Arabidopsis thaliana: one gene and its partners. The protein of the gene in region 2 interacts with the protein of the main gene of each other region in a pairwise test. Each region holds a gene or a part of one and is shown on either strand. Other genes may lie near its edges.

Region 1 (6,733 bases), 4.3 Mb from region 2:
AGGGAATTGCAATTCTCTGATTCGAGGAACACTTTGCAGTAGCAAAAGTTGGAGTGCGTGTGGGAAACCTTGAACGGTGATAGATTTCCGCATAAGTTTATCAGCTCCCCTTGCAGTAACACTCTTCAACGTCATTAGGAATGACATAGTCCCCCAAGGAAAATTTAGAAACATGTCTAAATTTTCTGCCATGTCCGCATGGACCGGAGAGATTTTACTTCTACCCGAGGTTGGGCATAAAACGCCATCAATCAAGGCCAGCACAGCGTAACGTAAACGAATTCCTTGATCTTGAACCACTCGCTTCTTCAGCCTGCCAACAACCCACTCAACAGATACATCACTGCGGTCAAATAGGCTGTACCAATACTTGCCAGGCGCCAATTTTCGTTTCCCTTTCCTCTCTTTCATACGAGGCGGTTTGTCGCAGTTCAAACCGGTAACATTTTGAAACTCAGAAATGGAAAACCGAACAGGGGATCCAGAGAAAATTACCCAAATTTCTTGTTTCTTCCTAACAACAAGCTGCCTCGTTAGCAAAAAGTGAATAAGCTTCCCAGAATACGCGGCGCTTTCGGAGAAATCAAATAATTTCCCAAACTGAGATTCCCGGAGAATTTTCATGTCCTCCGCATCTAACGCGTTAGCGATGTCATCTATCAAAGACAGTTCACTGTAGGACTGCACTCTCTCACCGTTGGGCTCGGATCCAGACCTAAACAATCGACGGGGTAAAGAGTTGTTCATCATCTACAAGTCGAACCCTTTTCTGCACAAAATAGAAGTTTATAAATCAGAAACAGTATGTACCTAAGATTTCAGTTAATCGGAATATAGATTGGAGAAATAAAGAAGTTGATGGCGATCGAGAACGTTGAATAGCTTAAACCGCATATATTTGTGAAATTACCTGTAGCCCGATGGAATTGATTGCCTAACTGCGAGATTGAATCTAAAGAAACGATATGTATGAGAAACAATATAGATTTGAAATAGATATTCGGAGAGTTTGCAGAATCTATGGGTAGAGAACGGAAGACGTTTCCTCTCGGAAAACCAGCAAATGAAGCGGCGCTAGGTTTTTTTTTGGAGCTCCTGATATTTCAAAAAATTCGATAATAAATCGATTTCTCGAAATTAAAATCTATATCGTTTGCGTCCACATACAGCATTGCTCTTACCAAGGTTTTCAAAATTCAAATTTCTGCAATCATACGCCTATACACCTATATGTCCCCTAACCAAGAACACAGTTATAGGGGGTTGCGGGTAATTTCAGATACGTCTCCGACAGACACTATAGACTCATAGTTAGTTTCTATATTATTATTGATTTCATGGTCATCTAGTGCATATACCCTTCTTTTAAATTAACCAGGTGAATCCAATCCAAAATCTAAACTAATCCCTTTAACAAAAAAAAAAAAAAATCTATACTGAACCCAAATTCCATAGAAATCTAGATTTTGTTGCTACTATAAAAATCTACTGGTGAACAAAGATAATTGAAATTACAATGAAAGGGCTAGAAAAGTCTGCCAACAATACTATTTATTTGCTTATCTTTTCTTTAACAATACATACTAGTTATCCTAAAACGACGAACAAACATCATTTAGAATTTAAAATCAAACACAAATATTTTAAAATATTCATTTTCTCGGAAGAGTACGAAGATTGTTTAATCGAAGATAATATTTAATGAAATTAATTTCTCAAAACGAGAAATTCTTATTTCCATTTTTAAAAGTTATTCTATGTATTATTCATATCATGCTTATGCATCTTGGGTCCAATCTTGATTTGTACAACGGCGTTTCGAGATCATCGTTAGCCATTTCCTCTTTTAGACGACGTAGTCATCATGAGGGAGATGTTCTGTACCGTTGAGATACTCCAACACTTTCTTCATCATTGGCCTATCTTCTGGAGATCGTCTCACGCAGAGAAGTCCTGTTTTCAGAACCAATAACACTTCTTCAGAGACTAAATTCTTTTTCTTGATTCTTTTGTCGCATCTCCTTAAGAGATTTCCGCTCTTGACCCCTCGAAGCACCCAGTTCACTAAACTGATCTCTACCGGTTCCTTTGTCGGCTCTATGGCTCTCCTTCCACAAACAATCTCCATGATTAACACTCCAAATTCAAACACATCTGTGGCACATGTAGCCTTTCCCGTGTTGACTAGTTCTGGTGCAACGTGTCCCGTAGTGCTGTGTCTGCTTCCATGTCCATAGTCTCCTAGTCGAGCGTTTAGCTCTCCGTCCAAAAGAACGTTACTTGCTTTGACATTTCCGTGTATGAGAGGTTTTTGAACCTCAGCGTGAAGATGTTGAAGTGCTGACGCAATACCCTTTATAATACAAAACCGGTGTACCCATTTGAGAACTGGTAGGTCGTTGCTGAACAAGAACCGGTCTAGGCTTCTATTGATAACATACTCGTAAACAAGATAGATCTCGTTTCCTTTGCTGCAGTAACCATGTAGATCAACAAGATTTCTTTGTTTTACCTTGGAGATTGCATCGATCTCGGCTATTAGGGCTGTCTTTTCTTGCCTTGTGTTGCAAGTAATTCTCTTTACGGCAATTATCTCTGTAGGAGCAAGTTGCCCTTTATAAAAACTCCCAGAGTTTCCCTCTCCCAAAAGCTTAGAGTTGTCAAAACCTCCCGTCGCGCTGGAAATCGTCTGGTGGGAGAATTTCCGTGCGCCTCCGGTGAAGTTTTCCGTTCTACGAAAAAAGCAAACCGCTAAGAAGCTTAAGATCAAGATTCCAAATATTGCTGATGCAGCAATGATTATGATCAGCATCGTGTTACTCGAATTTTTCATGACTGAAACCGGAGGACTCGGGGATGGAGACAATGGAGGTAGCGGGTCTGGAAGAGAGGGAAGCTTCGTGATATCAAAGTCTGATGCTTTCCCCTCGATGCTGAAGCTCCAGCCTAGCACAAAATGTGAGCTCGTGACAGTTCCCGTGGCTGCAGAGAATCCAACATAATTTTCTTCAGAGATGATCCCAGAAAGATTTAGTTTTCTAGAGAGAAGAGGCAACTTTGGCTTCGGACGATCTAGAGGAGCCAATGTGACATTGAGCATCGTCTCAGTTGCGTTGTATTCGATCCAGACTCTTATTGGTTTCCCACTCGCCAGCCTCAAACTTATGTTCTTTGCCTCTCGGTCATCAAAATATTCAGCGGAGGTAGACTCAATGGAGATCACTCCGTTGAGGTCTATACCAACATGGTTATCATCAATATCGTTCAACTCAACGGCCTGCACAGTGTCGAATTCAACTGCAAGAATGCAATTCAAGGAGTTTCCATTGTTGGAGGTATTGAATAGGCCTAGATAATTGCTTGGTAAGGCCCCGCTAAAGTCCAGCGAGGGTGAAATGACAAAAGCTAAGCCGTGGCCTGGTGCGCCAGGTCCTGGAGTGATGGCAAAGACGAAGCTTGTGGGGAAAGATACCAAATTTGAGGAGTTGGGGTTTAAGAATGGTATGGGAAAGCCATGAAAAGCTTGACCTATTTGCCTCATCGAAGTGTTTGTCAACTCCAAGTGGCCACTCGGGTGGATCTTGGACGAGCCAGACTTGAGGAGATTAGCTTCCAGAAAGCCATGGTTAAGAAATTTGGTTTGTTGTTGACTTGAGACACAAGAAAAGTATAGTAGGAAGATTATTGATACAGCTATCGATTTATAGGTATTAGCCATTGATAGTTTTCAGATTTTGATGTTAGCTATGTTCAATGCTATCTTTTTATAGCTTCAAAGAGCTCAAGACACATTCATATTCAAATTTTTTGTTTATGCTGACAAGTTAAACAAACTTAGTTGAAGATTTGACTTTCTATATAAACTGCTAAACAAACCCTTTTTTTTTTTGCAAACCTTTATATTAGTATCCTTGAAAAATTCTTTCGAACTTTCCTCCACAATTTCTTCCTAATAAAATTGATTGCAAAATAAACAAGAAAATGGTTACATATTTTCTGTATAATTTAAATGTGATTACAAAGTCATAATGGATCAAAAATTATTGAACAAAAAAAACGTCATCTTTTAGCTAGCCTTTAGGGTGAATCACCTTTTTTTTTGTTACACATATAATTTTGACTGCCTAACGATCGACGTTTATCCACTATGACTATGTGATACAAACAAATAGAAAGGTTTCTCTTGAGTCTTGTAATTGTGCAATTATTTGTATTAGGAAGAAATTGTGGAGGAAACTTGCAATAATTATCAACTATATGTCGCATAAAAGGCGTTGCTATGTTAGGCTTTTAGCCACTATATATCCAATATAAAAATAAAAAATGGATGAACAATTGAACATTCCTTGAAATTAAAGTGTTAACTTTAAATATGAATATTTATAATAAAAAAATATCCTAACTTTTTTTTATTATTATTATAAAGACATACGTTGTCAAACTAAGAAATTCAATTTGTAAACGAAGAAGAAGAATACTTGACCATTCAAATCTTAGTCTTGTTCTCACTGAAAACTTGTACAAAAATAAATAATTACAAAATCTAGAGAAGTTTTCATGCAAAATTGTATATGTAGATGTAGTCAGATAGAGTTCCATATATTCTATAAACGAAGAAATCACAACAATACAATGTACAAATTAACATCATTAGATTAGAGTCAAAGAATTTTTAAAAATATATCAACTTTCTGAGAAGAGTACAAAGATTGTTTACGAACGAAGAATTCTCAAAACATAAAATAATTAGTTTCCATTTTACAAAAATGATCTTAGGTAATCTGCTTATATTGGTTAAAGTATTTCTATTTTCTAACCAAAACTTAGGCAATTTATTTTGTCACCAACATACAATATTATATTAACAATCTATATATTACTAATCTATATGTTTTTTTCTTTTTGGTCTAAGGTAAACTTTGTGATTTAATTGTAGTATTGTACCTCTTCAATAGATACTCCGTACTCGCATGTATTAATAGAGCATCACATTTATCGACTTCTCTATGGTTAGTTTATGCATCTACTAAGTTTTTTATGGACTTTTGTTTTTGTTGTTCATTTATCGAAATAAAGCAAAAAACTGCAACGATCCAGTTAATCCGCAAAAATTAATGAATTAGAGTTTTTTTTTTTTCTCTTCTTCTTGTTGCATTTTCTCCTTTTTTTTTCTATTTTTTCTAATGATATTAACTAATATCTTCCCTACTAAAATATTGAAATGCTTTATTTTATTTTTTAAATAAAGAAATTGATTATGATTTTTTTTTTGTTACAGTTTATAAATGTGTCTAATAATTTATGGATATTTTATAAAGTTTATAAGATATATATACAGTAATTTAAAATTTGCCGCAATGATGACGTCGTCATCGTCACTAAACCAATCAGAACCATGCTTCGCATAAAGGTGACTCTGACTCATTTGAAAAGCTGAAACATAAACTCTGCTCTGCATAAATGGTGCTTGACATGGCTTCTCACTTGTACACAAATCCACCTCAAAACCTTCACTTTATTTCTTCTTCTTCTTCCCTTAAACCTCATTTATGCCTCTCTTTCAAACGCATAAACCCTAAACACAAATCCTCTTCCTCTTCCGTCTTCGTCCCTTACGCATCACAGAGTTCCATTGCCATTACCTCCAAGGAAAGATGGTCTCTCAATGGAATGTCTGCTCTTGTCACCGGCGGCACTCGTGGAATTGGGTTTGTCTCTCTTCACAACAAGTGTGAACCTTTATCAAACGCAAATTCTCAGAGTAGTGTGTGTTACTGTTTAAATTCTCAGGCGTGCGATTGTGGAGGAATTGGCTGGTCTTGGAGCAGAAGTTCACACTTGCGCTCGGAATGAGTACGAGCTGGAGAATTGTTTGAGTGATTGGAACCGTTCTGGTTTTCGAGTTGCTGGATCCGTTTGCGATGTCTCTGATCGATCTCAGAGAGAGGCTTTGATGGAGACCGTGTCATCTGTGTTTGAAGGGAAGCTTCATATCCTTGTAAGGTTTAATGCCATTGCTTAGAGATAATGCACATAAAGTGTTTGTTAATTTGTCTGTGAGAACAATTGTAAATAAATAACTTTACTTTCTTGTGTAATTATGATGCTTTTAGGTAAACAATGTTGGGACGAACATTAGGAAACCAATGGTAGAGTTTACTGCTGGAGAATTTTCGACTCTGATGTCTACGAATTTCGAATCGGTTTTCCATTTATGTCAACTTGCTTATCCATTGCTTAGAGAATCTAAAGCTGGAAGTGTTGTGTTCATCTCTTCTGTTTCTGGTTTTGTTTCCCTCAAGAATATGTCGGTCCAATCTTCAACCAAAGGTAGGTATTTGTTCTTATGCAGCATTCATTCATTTATTCAGGTTTTACCAAGATGTATTAGATTCTTTAACGAGCAGGCGATGGATAAACTTTGGTTCTTTTCGTTGGCCTTTGTGTTTTAGGAGCAATTAATCAACTTACGAGAAGTCTGGCTTGCGAGTGGGCCAAAGACAATATAAGGATCAATGCTGTTGCCCCGTGGTATATCAAAACATCTATGGTGGAGCAAGTATGGGTTTAAAAGCCTTATTATCTATTATGCGGTTAAATATAAGCTCTTGAGGCTGAAAATCAAAATGAGAAAGACTAAGCTAATTTGTGTGTTCCTTGTTTAAGATGGGGTTGTTTAATGGTTCTCGTCTTTTGGTCTCAGGTCCTTAGCAACAAAGAGTACCTAGAAGAA
Region 2 (8,401 bases):
ACAATTGCATCGTCTGAATTCGATTCTAGAAGAAACGGTGCCCAATAGAACTCTATCGTCGCGTTATACTCCTGCACAAAGATATAATAAGCTCTAATAAAAGGTGAGAATTTTGAATAAGTTTAAGTAGATAGGTTTACCTTGGCAGTGAAGACAGTGAGGGAACCATTGGTTTTAATTGATTTCTGATCTTCAGGAATAAGACGATGAAGAAGACAAATCATTGATACAAACATTCCACGGTTTAACGAGTCTCCTACATACATCATCCTCTTCCCTCTTAATGTCTCCAGCATCAGTGACGCGTTGAACCTATGAAACAGAGAAAACAGAGCAACACATGAAACAGAGAAAACAGAGTAACCCATGAAACAGAGAAAACAGAGCGTTTAGAGTGAGCTTACGAGGGAAGATCGCAGTGATTAGGCTGCCACCGCCAAAACTGGTAGTCTTTGTCGGGACGGCCGTGTTCTTGACATGTAAGCTGAGGTTGAATGTACGGACACTCCCATTCCTCATACAGTGGTCGGGAGACTTCATCTCTCACCCATTTCCCGCTGAAAACGTCACAGCTTTCCTCTGTTTTACCAATAGCAAACGCAAGCTTCTCCGATTTCTTATTCTTTTCTTAAGAATCCAAGAAATTGAAAACCAAAACACAAACTCAATTCCTCATTGTCAACGCGTATTCAAACCACAAGTTTAGTGAATAAACAAAATATTACCGGGTGTTCGAGAAGGCGGGAGGACGAAGTTAGGCTCGAGCTGTCCAAAGATGCACATAAAATCTTCACCATAGAGGACAGAGACGAAAAGAATGAAGGCTAAGAGTGTGAAGAGGTAAGGAGAAAAACGAGCTTTTCTAGCAATTGAAGAACTAGTGAGTGAAATTGGTGATGAAGGTTTCATGTTTAGGATTTGAGAATTAGTGTTACAAATGTGATTTCAAATTTTATATTATTAGGAAAAGAGGAGATAAAATTAAGAAATGAACACTTTGTGTTCTTGATGATCTCATTCTCCTCAACCAAATAAGAATGTGGGAGGAGGAAGCCAAAAGAACTTTATTTTGGAATTGCTTCAAGAAATACTAAAGATGTGAATTGTACAATGATTAAACTATTTATAATATGGTTATGATTATATTAGGTGATGAAATTTTTGTGAATTAGCAAAGGAAGTATACTTAAGAGTGATGAGTAGGTAAATGTTGACGCAACAGAGTGGTTGTCTACTAACTAATGCTTTTTCGTAAGATTTAATCCATTTATATACACATTCGTGTTTTCAGCAAAAATGTATATCTCTGTTTGTTTTTAAGTAATCATGTGATTTACCTTGATTTTAAGACAAAAACAATCACTGAGTTCACTGTGGACTACATCTAGTCCGTTTTGTATTTGATTAAATCCAACCTAGATGGTTATGATTAAATCATTGGCTTCCTTTGTCCTTTTTACTATGAATACTCTTCTAATATCTGTCAAAAAGGAACAAAAATTATTAGTTTCTTAGGCTATTGGAAACTTTGAGATGATGATTGATGGAGGTGAGGAATATAAATTCACTTGGCTTCTAAGCTAAGTGTCCTTGAGGTGTTTTCGTACAGTTGATCAATTTGTAAAGATGAGACATCGTTGTCTTTACCTTTGTCCAATGGATTTTTGATGTTACTTAGAAAACAATATAGAACAAAACTGACATTTATTAAAATTAATACTGAACAATGTGAGATCAAACAAAATCTTAATTATCGGTCTATAATTTTTTTTTTTTATATAGTAACTATCAGGAGAGAGTTCAAGATGAAATGAATAGTGGAATTAGTTGAGAAATTGTTGGGCTTTCAAGCTCAAGTTGTTGGCTCTCACTTTTCCTCTTTGTACACACTCTTCGTCCAACAAAACAAAACACTAAGCCAATGTTTCTTTAGATGCTACAATACTCAAAATTGTACAAAGAGATGCTTTCAAGAAGCTTCATTGGCAACTACTGTATATTATGACGACTGGACCGGCCAGTTTGACCGGTTTGGCTCAGCTAGACCAGTTTCTAAATCGGCTCAAATTTAACCGAGATCACTAAAAGAACAATCTGGTTCGTGGATTTTTGGTCAATTGCAACATCTCTATCCTAAACATTGATCACTCGCCTATCAGAAAACTCACTGAAAGAAAAGAGATATCCACTTATCCAACGCCAAGCGGATGCAAAATGTGCTAAAACATCAACACATCGGTTACCATTACTCAAAATCAGCATCAAGAAACTGAAACAATCTCCAAAGAGCAAACACACGAAATGGGAAAGGCTGCAGATTGCAATGGCTTGACATTGTTTCTATCCAATGAACAAGATTCTTTTGTTTCTACAGGGATCCATGACATAACAAGCTGAAAAGGAGAGGCACCTTATAACTTGCAGTCATATAATGGCCAAAAGAGTACTCAGGGTATAACAATCTAGCGGCGTTTGCAATTGGTTGAACCAGTCAAGGAAAGTTTGGGGATGTGTCTCCAGACCATGGATCAGAGAAGATGCTGAGACTGCTCAGAAGTTGACCTGAGAATATGAGGTTTGCTGACCACGAATAGACCCCCCGAATCTTGAAAATAGTGAGCCAAAACAGCTCTGCAAGATGAAGAGGAAACGTAAGCTCATTAAATTTAATTCTTAGACACCAATCTACCAGAAGAGAATATAGAAACACAGAACAATACCTGTATACTGTGAGGTACAGTGGCCCAGTAATCCATATTCGGGATTACCTATAAAACAGGGTGTTTACATTTCAATTGTGATAGAATCAGTACATGAGAAAAACTTGCATATATAAAGGAAGGTAGTGAAACATACATCTATGCCACGAATTCCAAGGGAGAAATACCGATATACTGCACCACCCACCAGATAAGCTCCAAACAGGCACAAGATACTGAGAAAGATAAGAACATTTCATTTTTGATTCCCACGATATCTAAACATATTCCAATAGGCCTCACATTAAAAAGATTGGTTTGCTCACATGATTAGTAAGGTACTAAACCAGCCCCATCCACTACTATGGCCGGATATAGCTGCTGCACAACCGGCAGGATGTCGCAGCTGAGTAGCCTGTCAGTGAAACAAGACCATAACTACCCAGAGTCCATACTTCTTAAGAATCAAGATATTGAGATGCAAATAAAAACTCAGTTTTCAAACTTAAAACCCATAAAATTCACAAAAGAAACAATCACACTTGGTAATTTGAAAGCTACAGGAAAAGAGCAAATAGATGAGTTACTGAACACTCACATACTGACAGGTACCAGATTTCGCCAAAGTGAGTGGTCCCTGAGAAAAGAAAATGGTGAACGAGGTTTTACGTCTTAAAAACTCCTAAAATCAACTTCAATTCATACGCTTAAGTAGGATGTCTGATATACAAATCCTTACATCAACTTTAGTTTTCTGGCAAATAACAGAAACTGAAAGCGAGCAATTTTGGTTCCTATTTCCAGTTGACATCTGAACAATGACGCCTTTGCCAGGATCCTCTTTATCTACCATATTCAAAACAAAAATCCTGAGGCACATTTATTACATTATTATTGCAAACGAAGTTGGGAGAAAACAGCATTAACAATTTAGCTTTTTCACAACTTAGAACACAGGGTGAAAATAGTCTCAATTTTCACATATCTTAAACCTTACCAATAATATCAACTTTTGTGCTTGAGGCATGCCCTAGAGAAGTGCATACATCATACCCTGCAAATGATTAGATTTTTAAGATGGTTTAACTCTTCATTAGCACAAAAGCATTGTGCAATCTGCAACCTTATCATTCTCTACTGAGCTACATAATATACATTAAGATAACATGCTGTCAGAGTGTGATTTTAATACCTCTTACATTTTCTGACACAAGTGCACTACATGACGTTCCGCAGTGAGATGGACCTCCACAATCCTAAGTGAAGAAAAGCAAAGTCACAGAGACTGATTGAGATTCTCAAAGTTAAAATAGAAACTTTTTCTGTAGAAGGATAGATCAAGACAAGAAAAGTAGCCAAATATCTTACTTCGCAACCAACACATCGAGGGGGATCATGATTGAAAATCAGCACGTCACAAAGCTGTTCCACAAGACGGTTTACAAAAAAAATAACAAACATAAATCACAATGGCGTAGTGTAAAACATAAACGGCAGTATGACTACCAAGCAGTTATACATCTTCAAATCAGAACCACCTTAACTCTAAATGCTTTCCTAATCTAAGCAACGTATCGTTCTTCCTCTACTGTTCCATTAACCTATCTATTCCTTTTTCCTTGTTACCAGTTATCAGAAATTACATACAACAAGATGAATTACACAGGCACGCGAGAAATCCAAGATACAGGATCATAGATGTTATGATCAGTGTAACAGAGAAAAATACAGAAACAAAGTGTAACCTGATGTAGAAGACAACCTGAAACCATAACACGGAACTGTTCGCTTCCACTTTATAAAACCTGCTTATCCAATTATTGCATTTAGTATAAGCACAACACAAATGAAGTAACATAGACGAACATTTTAACTTAACACCATCCAGTACAAATCACAATACCAAATGCAACATTCTACATAATAATTTCATAAGATGTACAGAATTTGAAATTGAAAGCGAACTTCAAGCATATAAGAAATGGAATCTGGGACAAAAGGAAAAGCGAAAGTACCCATCTTCGCTGAGCACACCGTGAGGATAATTCCGAATCGAAGATGCTAGGTTGAAATGAAAGACCTTGTTGCGTCCAGTGAAACTGAATTCACATTGAGAGTTAACTCGTGAGCTAATAAACAGTAGAGTGATGAGAATAAATCTCGGGATCCAAAGTTTCCCCGACATTTCTCCTTAGCTCCTAGCTTATCGATTTCCAATTTCAATTTTTTGAAGATTCTCTCTTACGATCTCATGACCATGTCCGAGGATCTCCACGGAGATGGCGAGCGAGACTGAGAGAGAAGAAGAGATGAGTGCTCGGCACGGCTGCAGTCGTCGCTGTTGTTGATTTCACATCCGCCGTTGGTTCAATCGAAATTTCAATTGTACCCTTAATCTTAGTAATTCTTACGAATAAGCCGCATAAATTATTTTTGTATATCATTTGCAATTTGAAGCCTGAATGTTATCAACTATGGGCCTTCTCAAATCTCAAACGGCCCATTTAAAAACCGAACCAGAGTATGGTTCAATTTAGTTTCTTCAGATGAACCGGATTTATTGAATTTATTCAGAGATTTATGTAGAAATTCTTTCGTCCAATTGTTTAATCATGTGTTTCTATTCGATTTTCAGAAAATACAATTTCTTGTAGATTATGGATGTTAATTTTTTATTTTATCTGAAAGCTTATATACATATTTATGTTTTAATTTGGAATTTCGGTTATAAAAAAAAACATTATCCTATACATCAAATAATTTGGTTTATTCATAAATGAAAGTATCATATACACAACACATCGTTATTATTTTGATGGCTCGTCAAATCAATTCAGACAATGTTGAGGAACCATTTTACCGCTCATAGAACCATCAACATTTTCGCAAACTGCAATGGAAGAACTATTTTCAAGTCCATTACTTTTTATGTTAATGTCAATTAGCTCAATATTCTTGCACGGAAAGCTTTTGCTACATTGAAGATTCATTGCCACTTTGTTCTTTGACGTTCCATATATGTTTTTTAACTTAAGATCTTGGATTTGAACGTGAGACTCTCCCTGAAGAAAAATAAACACAAGTTGTCTTTTATATTTTTGTTCTTATTCTTTTGATGAAATAAGAGAATGATGAAGCTTGTTTTTTGAATAGAATGTTAACCTTTTGCTCATGTTCACAAGGAGGATGAGGACAATACTTCTGATCGATGTTGATTGGTTTTCCAACGTCAATCATCTGAATATTCTCGTACACAAAGTTCGAAACGAGGATTTTTGAAGCTGAAGATTCCCAAGTCTTGATCCGAATACCATCACTTGTACCGTTGAAAATGACGTCTCTTACTGTTAAGTTTTTCACGTCTTTCTCGTCTTTGTTCTTCCCTAAACTTCCAACACTGATCCCATGTCCGGGACCACATTTAACATTAGAGATATCGAGGTTAGTGGTTCCAGAGAGAATGGCAATACAATCGTCTCCGGTACCGATGTTTGTGTTGGAGATGTGCATGTTGCTACATGAACCCATCTTGATACCGTCGGTGTTAGGACTATCACCGGAAGCTGTTATAGTGACGCCGGTAATATTAAAGTGATGGACGGAGAAGAAGTTGAAATGTCCCATTTTGCTGTTGAGTGATGTTATGTCTTTGATATTTGAGTTGTTCACGAATGCAAATCCCATAGTCTATAAAAAAATTCAAGTTTATTATAAGACTTGTTAATTTCTCAAATGAAAAAGACCAAAAATTCTAATAAAGTTGTGTATAAATATCACATGTACGTTTTGTAATACGCTTTAAATGTAAATAAGTGAAAAAGTTTAAGATATGTTACCATAGCTAGTTTAGGACAATTGAGATTTTTGTGGCAGTCATTGAGTGGCCAAGATTGTTTTCCTTGGCCGTCAAGTGTACCGGAACCGGAGATAGAAAGATTGTTGATGTACCTAAAGTTGATCCATGTATCTTGCTTAATATCACTAGGATTTGCAGGAGCCAATAAAGTTCCATCAATGACGAATTCAATAGGATTTTTGCATGGACCCACAAACTCTACACCACCGAGGTAAAATATTCCTTTTGGTACATAGATTTTACTACTTCCACTTTTTCTTTTGCATGCACGACTCCATATACTTGTGAATACCTGATTTTGTATGTGTTAAGAATGATATATATATGTTAAAATACAATAAATTAAAAATATATATTTATCTTTTTGGTTTGTATATTTGTCATATATGTTTATAGTTGTGCTAATGTGCATAGATTTTCATCTCATAACTAATTAATGGTAAAAAAAAAATTAGAAAAATTCTCGTTTACATACATTGGCATTATCAGTTTTTCCGTCCGGCTTAGAACCATGACGTTGGACGTTAAACGTTTTTGGTCGGATAGTAGGACGACTTGCAACAAATATGAACAAGAAAGATACACATAAAACCTTAAACACAAAAGCAATGCTTGCCATCTTATTATTGAGTTTAAGGTGTATGGAAAAAAAAAATTGTTGTTTATCAATACTTGTTCTAAGAGATGATGAGAAGTGTTAGCCTACATTATCAGCTTATATAGAGTTAGCATCTCTCAATGAACAGGTAGAAGAACTGGATTATGGTTACTAATTAACAACTAAAATTGTGTTTTTTTTTTAGTGGTAATGATTTTGATTGGTTAATAATATCTTGTTATGAAGATTTTTGAGTGTATATGTTTTTTTTTTGTTCTCTCCTCTAAAACAGAATCTTCAATTTGAGGAATGTGCCAATCATATTTACCAATTACTTGTTGTTTTTGTTTGTTTTAATTTAAATTGCATAAAACCAAATTGTTTTCCTTATGCACTCTTTCTTATTTGTTCCAATTTTAAGGGATATTTAATTTTAGTATTTTAGTTGTTCTGTTAACTTTTTTATTCACTAATCACAAATTACAAGAGATTTTCTATTAAATAAATGATTATTTACTTAATTAAGTAATTAGTGAAAGAGATTTTGAAGCTGCAATTTCAATTTTCATCACATAAAACAAAATTATACAGCTTCAAAACAAATAAGTCACGGATAAACAAAATTCCAGCAACGACAAAAAGAAAAAGAAAAAAAATTCCAGCAACGCAGTTGAACCACAAGCTTGCCACGCGCCATGACCCATCCCACGATCTCGTACGTACACGTGTCTCTCATCCGCAGCCTCATCATCAACACATCACAATCTCACTTTTACATATATCTCCCTCGCCTCACGAAAAATCCATTCGTCTTCTCCAATTTTCTCGCGAAGAAAACTTTCCTACTTTGTTTCAATCCAAACGAGTCAAAATGCTTCTCAAGACTGTTTCTTCATCTTCTTCTTCAGCTCTCTCGCTGGTGAATTTCCATGGCGTGAAGAAGGATGTGTCTCCTTTGTTACCTTCCATTTCATCGAATCTTCGAGTTTCTTCTGGAAAATCTGGAAACTTAACTTTCTCTTTTCGCGCATCTAAAAGCTCAACCACCGACGCGCTAAGCGGCGTTGTCTTCGAGCCGTTTAAGGAAGTAAAAAAGGAGCTCGATCTCGTCCCTACCAGCTCTCATCTCTCACTCGCTCGACAAAAGTACTCAGACGAGTGCGAAGCCGCCATTAACGAGCAGATCAAGTAGGTTATTCTTTCTCACCCCAGTCTCTTAGATTCGGTATTATAATCTGGTTGATTGGC
Region 3 (9,128 bases), on a different chromosome or scaffold from region 2:
CTGTTTCTTCTGTAATTTACTCTGATAATGATAATGATCTTTTCTTTTTCAGTAAAATTTGATTTTTAAAAAATAAAGGATGGAACTTTGAATAATAAGACTCTCTTTCTCTACAAAGTTCACAACTTTACATTCTCATTATCTCATATCATCCCCTAAAGAGACATGAACATGAGTTTGTTACAAACTCCATCACTTCTTATGTACAATAAGATGCTCAAATCTCTTGCTGATGGTAAAAGTTTCACGAAAGTTTTGGCTTTGTTCGGTGAATTGCGAGGACAAGGATTGTATCCTGATAATTTCACGTTACCGGTTGTTCTAAAGTCAATTGGTCGTTTGAGGAAGGTTATAGAAGGTGAGAAGGTTCATGGTTATGCTGTGAAAGCTGGGCTTGAGTTCGATTCTTATGTATCTAATTCACTCATGGGAATGTATGCTTCATTGGGTAAGATAGAGATCACACATAAAGTGTTCGATGAAATGCCTCAACGAGATGTTGTTTCTTGGAATGGGTTGATTTCTAGTTATGTTGGTAATGGGAGGTTTGAGGATGCCATTGGTGTGTTTAAGCGGATGAGTCAGGAGAGCAATTTGAAGTTTGATGAAGGTACAATTGTGAGCACTCTTTCGGCTTGTTCGGCTTTGAAGAATCTTGAAATTGGTGAAAGGATTTATAGGTTTGTTGTTACAGAATTTGAAATGAGTGTTAGGATTGGGAATGCGTTGGTGGATATGTTCTGTAAATGTGGGTGTCTCGATAAGGCTAGAGCGGTTTTCGATTCGATGAGAGACAAGAATGTTAAGTGTTGGACTAGTATGGTTTTTGGGTATGTTAGTACTGGTAGGATTGATGAGGCTAGAGTTTTGTTTGAGAGAAGTCCTGTAAAGGATGTTGTTTTGTGGACAGCTATGATGAATGGGTATGTTCAGTTTAACCGGTTTGATGAGGCATTGGAACTGTTCAGGTGCATGCAAACTGCGGGAATTAGGCCGGATAATTTCGTGCTAGTCTCTCTCTTGACAGGTTGCGCGCAAACGGGAGCTTTAGAGCAAGGAAAATGGATTCATGGGTACATAAATGAGAACAGGGTTACAGTAGATAAAGTAGTTGGTACTGCTCTTGTAGACATGTATGCAAAATGTGGATGCATTGAGACAGCTCTAGAGGTTTTCTATGAAATAAAGGAGAGAGACACAGCTTCGTGGACATCACTTATCTACGGTCTTGCGATGAACGGGATGTCAGGAAGAGCGCTGGACTTGTATTACGAAATGGAAAATGTTGGTGTTAGACTAGACGCTATAACATTTGTCGCGGTTTTAACAGCTTGCAATCATGGTGGATTTGTAGCAGAAGGCCGTAAGATTTTCCATTCGATGACCGAAAGACATAACGTCCAGCCTAAATCAGAGCACTGCAGCTGTCTGATTGACCTACTATGCAGAGCTGGTTTGTTAGATGAAGCAGAGGAATTGATAGATAAGATGCGTGGTGAAAGCGATGAAACTCTAGTTCCTGTATACTGTTCTTTACTTAGTGCTGCTAGGAACTATGGGAATGTAAAAATAGCAGAACGGGTAGCGGAAAAGCTTGAGAAAGTGGAAGTAAGTGATTCCAGTGCTCATACTCTGCTTGCAAGTGTATATGCATCTGCTAATAGATGGGAAGATGTAACTAATGTGAGAAGGAAAATGAAAGATTTGGGAATCAGAAAGTTTCCTGGTTGCAGCTCCATCGAGATTGATGGGGTTGGTCATGAGTTTATTGTTGGAGATGATCTATTATCACACCCAAAAATGGATGAGATCAACTCAATGCTGCATCAAACGACAAATTTGATGTTGGATTTGGAACATAAAGAAATTGATAGCTGAAACTTTCTTGTACATTCTCTAACTACTTCCCTTATCATTAACATTTGTTTCCCTGCTAATGAACCGGTTTTGAATCGATGTTGGTTTTGAATCGATATCAGCTTCTCTGTAACTGAATCAGGATTGATTGAGACTGAAGAAGAAGAAGATGAAGGAACATGGATTATTTCAAAAGAACATAAAGGCAGAGAGTAGTTTTTCTACAAAGGTCACAACTATACAATTCAATTTCATGTTCAAATAAAAGTTTTTATACCAAAAATCAGAACAAAAAGAGAAAGGGCTGAAAATGAATGGCTCGAATCTGGTAAAACTGGAGGGGCAAAGTAAATGGCAACACAACACAAAGACTCTGTTCCATTAACTGGAAAATTATGGCTCTTCGTTGGTATTTGCAGGTTTTCTCGGGGAGCAAAAACGGAAATCGAATAGCATTTGAAGGCTTTCCCCGGGAAACCGGACTCGGTTTACTTTTTTTCTCGAGGTTTCGACTGGTGGGTTTATGCAATTAATCAGAGCTGGAATCATAAAATTCGCTGGGACAAGGAGTCATGACCTCTGATTCAAGTAACTGGACAACCCGATGCATCGTTGGACGCTCTTCTGGACTCGGAGACACACACTGTGTTGCTATTGATAGTAGAGCGTCAAGGCTCTCCATCTGCATTCCTTCACAGTTTGGATCAACAATATCCCTTGGCCGTTTTTCGCTGATTAAGAACTTTAGCTGTAAATCATGAGTCAAAAGCTTTTTTAGTCAAGTTTGTCGTAACAAAATATCAGTATTGAAAAAGAATCTTATTTGCATACCCAACCAACAACGTTAAGGCCTTTCTCGATGAAGGAAGCATCGGTTGGTCTTTTCCCACTCAAGACTTCAAGAACCAAAACCCCAAAACTGTATACATCGGTTTTCTCAGTTGCTCTACCACTTTGCATATATTCTGTCAAATGGAAAAGTCTCAGCATTTGAAAGATCAAATCTTTATGTAAGTAAAGACTTTTAAAAGGCATATGTACCTGGAGCTAGGTACCCAAATGTGCCTGCAACAATGGTTGTGATATGAGATTCTTCGTCTTCCAACAACTTGGCTAGACCAAAATCCGATACCCGTGCCTCGAGATTGCCATCAAGCAAAATGTTGCTCGACTTTATATCACGATGTATAATCCGAGGAGAACAATCATGATGCAAATATGATAACCCTTTCGCAGCTCCTATGATGATATTTACGCGTGAATCCCAGTCCAATTGCTCGCCTCTCTCTACTAATTCAAGAACCAAACTTCTCAGTGAATCATTCATAATATGGAAGAGAGCCATAAAGAGCAGATTGATCATACCATGAAGTGCTTCATCAAGGCTACCACCGGGCAAGTAATCATATAACAGTAGCTTTGATGTTGGTGAATTGCAATATCCACGTAGATTCACGAGGTATCGGTGTTTGATGCTCCCAAGAATCTCAAGCTCCCGCTCAAAAAACCGATCAAACCCTTCGTTTAACTTTAGAATTCTCTTCAATGCAAAGACTTTGCCATCATCCATGGCCAGCTTATACACCGTTCCAAAGCCTCCACATCCAATTATGTGCTCTTCATTCAACATTTCCAGCTTCTTAATGATATCTTTGGAAGAGTAAGGTAAATCTCCGTGGAACATCACAATAGACGCACCTGAATTGAAAAAGTCACAATGAAGATTTAGGAGATAGAGAAAAATATGAAATTTCCCAATATTTAACGAGATAATATCTGTACAAAAAAAATCAATACGGCTCACCTCCACCAACATCCTTTGCAAGGCTTTTAATCTCGACTTTACCGAGCTTTTTATATAGAAAGCATCCCCAGAAACACATGAGTGCAACTAGGAGTAGCGCACCTACAGTTGCTGATGCGCTAATCAGCAGCTTACCAGAGTTTTTCTTTTGATTTTGACCTATAAAGTATAAGACACCAAATAAATATAACTTTACTGATAGAGAGCCACAACAAAACCTGTATATCACAAGAAATTCATAATTGCTTTTACCTGATTGAGAATGTGATGAAGGGTTTCCACTATCATCTTGGCACACGACATCAACATGCTTTCCACACAAGTTAAGATTTCCAATGAAGCTGTAGTAGTAACGCATCAGTTTGAGAATCATATAATTTCAGTCGCACTGATACAATCTAGCTAAATAGTTATGTGGTTCAAAAAATCATCTCGAATATAAGCGAAATATGAAAGATCAGCTGTATAAATGTAACTTTAGAGGATTGACAAAAAAAAAAAAAAAATGTAACTTTAGAGGCTTTATTTTTCTATCCCTACAAGAAGAAAAGGGTGTTTATTGTCTTACGAGTTCTTAGAAAATCCAGAGAGCACTCCGTCTGAAGGTATTTGCCCCACCAGGAAGTTGTTCGAGACATTGCTTCATAAGACAAACGAAACAGAAAGATTCACAGGACTGCAATATGATAAATTACAGCGGAAGTTAGAGATTAAGGTGCTCACAAGTTACTAAGCTTTTTTAACTGCCCAAGCGAAGCAGGGATAGGTCCACTGAGAGTGTTGCTTGACATGTCCCTTGAAAATAAAATAAAAAAGTCAAAAGTCAGTTTTAGTAGAGAAAAGAGAACAATCAATATGTGAATCTGAAGTAAACAATACATTATCATGCTTTTCAAATTGCTCACCAAGAGTTTAGGTATAACTAGTTCTGAATATAATGTGCATGAGAAGACATTATGCAGTCAACCATATGTTACCATGATCCTAGATGGTGATAGAAGTAAATGAAAACAAAAAACAAATAGATATTGCATACACTAAAAGAAGGATGCACTTGCAAGTACGTATAGGGAAGAGAAAAAAACATACAGCTTTTGAAGGCCAGGCAGGTCTCCCATTTCAGCTGGGATTGGTCCAGTGAAGTAGTTACTCTGCAAGTGACTGCAAAACCAGTTGGACAATTTTGATGACCATAAGCAACTGGAATTGGTCTCTCAGAAACCATGTGGAATCAGTATAAAATCCTGGAAAAGCGCTTACATTTCCTCCAATGCTGTGCAATTTCCCAATGCTGTAGGTATTGCTCCATATAAAGCATTGTTGTGAAGCATTCTGCAATGACACACAGATGATCAGAATCGAAGTACTCTCTTAAGCAATAAAAATGAATAAGGCTAGAGAGCACATACAAAAGCCTTAAATGGTCCAACTTTCCAATATCAGGAGGTAAAGGTCCCATTATTTTGTGATAAGTAAGATTCCTGCGAAACAAGAGTATTAGGGAGCACAAATACTGAAGAGAAAACCAGTAAACCTTGACAAGTTTGAAAACTTACAAGGTTATAACTCTTTTCGTTTTTGCATCACATGTCACTCCGTTCCAGTTACATGGATCTGGATCTTCCGGTCTCCACTGATGGATGAAACTATCTGATCTAGTAACTGCATTTCTGAAGCTCAGAAGCGCCTCGCCTGAAGAATGGAAACAAGCAATAAAGGATTAAAGCTCAATAAAAGGTCCAGGACGCTATGAATAGTAATAGTTGATTCATATCGACGTACCGTCAGGACTAATCGCTTGACTTTCATTAGATAGTGAGCAAAGCAACGAGATCAAAAGAAGCCATGAGCAGCAGCTTTTCATCTCACAGATGCCCATCATGGCACTGTCCAAGCATAATATAACTACTACCAATCATTTGAAAAGAACAGCCTCTTGGTTGTCAGTTATTAGTTGATTCCATGTCTATGTTCAAGTAAGAAACTAGACTCCTGAAAAACAAAGGAAAGCCCACAAAACTAATTGTCAATTACACTACACATTAAGCTCAGTCTCCACACAACTTATGCATGCTCTCATCTACATTTTGAGTACTCAAAACAGTGAAATTGCCTCACAAGAACCAATACACACTTTCCAATTGCTAAAATCAGAAAACGAGAGCTAAATTCGGCCAACAATCTCAAAATCATCATCAACAAAAGAGCTCAAAAACAGCTCTAGCTTAACATAGATTACGAAATTCCCAGATACCATCCAATCCTATAACACAATAACAACTGAAGATTCGAACAATATAACAAATCCAAAAAACGATTCAGCAAAAGACCCAAAACCCCACTCTTTCCAACAATATCAAAGGTTATAGCTTTAAAAGCAAACAGAATTAGTAAGAATTATAAGAACCTCTAAAAATGGATCCGAGAGGAGGAAGAATTGAGACAGAGGAAGAAGAAGATGACTAATTTGAGCTGTAAAGCAAAAAAAAAAAAATATAACTTAAGGAGAAGATAAAAAAAACAAAAAAGGAATCGACTTTTTATTTTGTTTGTGTGATTTATGGTAAGAGTGAAGAGAGAGAAAACTAGAGTGAGAGAGAGAGAGTGTGTGAAGAAGAAGAAGATGCTTTCTTCTCCAAAGCATACGACCAATGAGAAGAAACGAAGTGGGTCTCGCACGTGCCGATCTTGACCTCCCACACGTGTCAACCGACGCTTTCTTCATAAAACCCAATTATTATTGCCAGCTAGACCTTAGCTAAGCCTAATCTCTACAATGGTCGAAATCATTGGGCCCATTTTTAAGGCCCATTACGGTATAAGCCCAGCGGTTTGATTGAACCGGTTTGAGATTAGAAGCCATTGTTGTCCGTTGTTTCACCATCGCGTTATATCGATGGCTACGGCGGCGATTATTTCCGTGAAACCGCCGGCGAGCTTCTACTGCGGAGGAAACCGACGCGACGGAGGAAGGGGAATCACCATTGCACGAGTTTCTCGAGACGAACGGTTTCATGAGAGGATCGTTGGTCTCTCTGCCTCGACCGTGTTGTTCATCGGTTTAAGTAGCCTCCGCGTCTGTTCTCCGGCCTCCGCTCGAATACTACCACCGCCGATTGTCGTTACAGAGAATGAAATCAACACAGAAACTGTAGCTGGTGCGTGAAATTGAACATTTTCGTCACTCTTGGGATTTCGATGGATTTGAATTTTGTGTTCCAATGGAATGTTTTTGCAGGTGAAGAGAATCTAAATGAAGTTGAAGATGAAGAAAAACTGGAAGCTGATTTCGAAGCGTACAAGTCTAAAGTGTATTCTCTTACTGTCCCGCTAAAACTCGTTGCCTTGCGTGGCTCAGTGCCACCATCATGGATCAAGGTTTTAGTTTCACTTGTCTGTGTTTCCATTTCTATTTTGAATCTTAAGCTTATAGTTGAAAATGTATGTTGTTGGATTCTGTGAATGGAATTTAGGAGTTTATGAGCTCACAAGGGAAGAGAGTGAGGTTAAAGACTCAGTTTCGAGGAAATCTTGAAGAGATCTTTTTCGATCTATCGAAACCAAGTAAGAATGGAAAAAAGGGGGCTGCTTCAACTGCAGCAGCTGATATGATCAGCATTGGTGATTCTTGGCTTAGTTTTGCTATTAAGGAAAAGCTAATTGAGCCAATGAAAGGGATAGAAGATCAAGACTGGTATAAAGGCTTGAGTGATAAATGGAAGGTGAGAATTTAAATCAGTGGTTTAACAATATGAATATGAGTCTTTTTGAAAGAACACTAGCTTGAGAGATTTTAATAGGCATAATCTTTCATGTGTTTTGTTTTCGTACTCTGCTAGCTTGGGAATGTTCATAGGGTTCATTTCATGACTTAGAAAGTCTCAGATTTATCTCCGCAGGAACTATGCGGGAGAAAAAGCTCCTGACGGTGAAACGTGGGCTGTGCCATACCGCTGGGGCACCATGGTTATAGCATACAAAAAGAGCAAATTTCAGAATTATAAATTGGCACCGATAGAGGTTGGTATACTTTGTTGTTGCTAAATGCTGTCTTAGTGTTTTCCTATTTAAAAGAAGTGAATATCACTGAACATTTTGCTGAATTTAGGACTGGGCTGATCTGTGGCGACCCGAGCTTGCAGGAAGGATCGCAATGGTGAATTCTCCTAGAGAGGTTGTTGGTGCTGTTCTCAAATACATGAGAGCATCATACAATACGACAGACCTGGATTCACAAGTTCCTGGCGGAAGATTAGCAGTGGAGAAAAATCTGGCATCACTCATGAAACAGGTTATTACCTCTTTACTATCTCTCCATACCCTAAAGAGAACAGATGAGTTTAGGCTGACGTGTTTCACTCAACCTCTATAGTTATTGAGAAAAAATGACAATGGTGGCTGATCTTGTTTCCCCTTTTGCTTATAGATTAGACTATTTGATAGTAACAACTATTTAAAAGCTTTCAATGTCGGAGATGTCTGGGTCACTGTTGGTTGGAGCAGCGATGTTATCCCTGTCGCAAAACGTATGTCTAATGTTACAGTGATTGTTCCCAAATCCGGTGCCACCTTATGGGCTGATCTATGGGTAAGTTACCGTCGTAAAATCACTTAACCCTTCATCTGATATCTTGAATGCTTCTTGTTCTAAAGACGATATAACATATCTGGACACTAAACCGTGAAGCATAATTGTTTTTCAAGGCGATCCCGGCTGTTTCTGACTCTGGTAAAGAAGCAGAACAAAGAGGAGGACGAGTCCGAGGCCCATCTCCATTAATCAACCAGTGGATAGAATTCTGCTTGCAACCTGCAAGATCGTTACCATTCACACGGGAAGTAATTCCTGGTGCATCTCCTTCAGCTCTTGATGGTCCTCTGGTTACAGAACCCGAAAAAACAAAGAAAGACAGAACAAAACTGGACACAAACCTGGTCACAGGTGTTCCTCCTCCGGAGATCTTGTCTAAGTGTGAGTTCTTGGAACCTTTACCAGAGGCTACGCTATCGGAATATCGGCTTCTGATTGAAACTGTAAGGAAGCAAAGCCAAAGACCTGGCCTTGTGGAGAAACTAAAGGACATTGTTTCAATTAAGGTTCGAGGATTTAGGGCAAAGCTTGACTCCGAGATGAATAAGAACATTTGAGAGACGGACAAAAGTGGAAATGGAATCATTTGTATGATTACATAGAGCAACTTCATGTTGGTTAACATAAGGGGTTTTCTATCTCCTTATAACAGAGTATCATGTCATGAAGAGCCAGAGGCTGATCGCCTTTGCTCATGTTACTAGTTAGTCGTTAGTTCAAACACTATAGATGCCAAAACAAGTGTATAAATTAAATTAAACTACACAAAACGCCTAATATAACCTAACATTATTTAATTTATTGGCCATCTAAGAGGTAAATATCATGTAAAACGGTGTTAATGAATGCTTTGTTTTGAAAATGAACAAGGGAAAG

The links.
Region 1: the proteins of AT2G40316 (region 2) and AT2G29250 interact in a protein complementation assay, tested with the Arabidopsis thaliana proteins (one large-scale study listed by BioGRID).
Region 3: the proteins of AT2G40316 (region 2) and FEI1 interact in a protein complementation assay, tested with the Arabidopsis thaliana proteins (one large-scale study listed by BioGRID).

The regions. Positions count from the first base shown.
Region 1 is NC_003071.7:12,577,063-12,583,795, forward strand, and holds AT2G29250 (Concanavalin A-like lectin protein kinase family protein), read right to left. Parts: upstream 3,719-6,733; coding exon 1,847-3,718; downstream 1-1,846. Other genes in the region: AT2G29260 (NAD(P)-binding Rossmann-fold superfamily protein), read left to right, coding at 5,461-5,708, 5,791-5,998, 6,114-6,330, 6,453-6,559, 6,704-6,733.
Region 2 is NC_003071.7:16,832,838-16,841,238, reverse strand, and holds AT2G40316 (autophagy-like protein), read right to left. Parts: upstream 5,136-8,401; 5' UTR 4,885-5,135; coding exon 4,715-4,884; intron 4,505-4,714; coding exon 4,462-4,504; coding exon of another isoform or gene 4,445-4,461; intron 4,122-4,444; coding exon 4,068-4,121; intron 3,956-4,067; coding exon 3,892-3,955; intron 3,754-3,891; coding exon 3,697-3,753; intron 3,546-3,696; coding exon 3,439-3,545; intron 3,337-3,438; coding exon 3,298-3,336; intron 3,115-3,297; coding exon 3,026-3,114; intron 2,936-3,025; coding exon 2,857-2,935; intron 2,769-2,856; coding exon 2,721-2,768; intron 2,632-2,720; coding exon 2,551-2,631; 3' UTR 1,793-2,550; downstream 1-1,792. Other genes in the region: TBL33 (TRICHOME BIREFRINGENCE-LIKE 33), read right to left, coding at 1-71, 141-312, 405-627, 726-909; AT2G40310 (Pectin lyase-like superfamily protein), read right to left, coding at 5,528-5,761, 5,862-6,386, 6,536-6,847, 7,031-7,174; FER4 (ferritin 4), read left to right, coding at 8,025-8,341.
Region 3 is NC_003070.9:11,246,775-11,255,902, reverse strand, and holds FEI1 (Leucine-rich repeat protein kinase family protein), read right to left. Parts: upstream 6,286-9,128; 5' UTR 5,544-6,285; coding exon 5,444-5,543; intron 5,354-5,443; coding exon 5,218-5,353; intron 5,143-5,217; coding exon 5,071-5,142; intron 4,994-5,070; coding exon 4,922-4,993; intron 4,823-4,921; coding exon 4,751-4,822; intron 4,457-4,750; coding exon 4,385-4,456; intron 4,302-4,384; coding exon 4,230-4,301; intron 4,003-4,229; coding exon 3,914-4,002; intron 3,821-3,913; coding exon 3,662-3,820; intron 3,556-3,661; coding exon 3,223-3,555; intron 3,148-3,222; coding exon 2,899-3,147; intron 2,823-2,898; coding exon 2,689-2,822; intron 2,606-2,688; coding exon 2,387-2,605; 3' UTR 1,988-2,386; downstream 1-1,987. Other genes in the region: AT1G31430 (Pentatricopeptide repeat (PPR-like) superfamily protein), read left to right, coding at 166-1,878; AT1G31410 (putrescine-binding periplasmic protein-like protein), read left to right, coding at 6,558-6,819, 6,900-7,039, 7,135-7,383, 7,547-7,681, 7,770-7,952, 8,088-8,249, 8,366-8,809.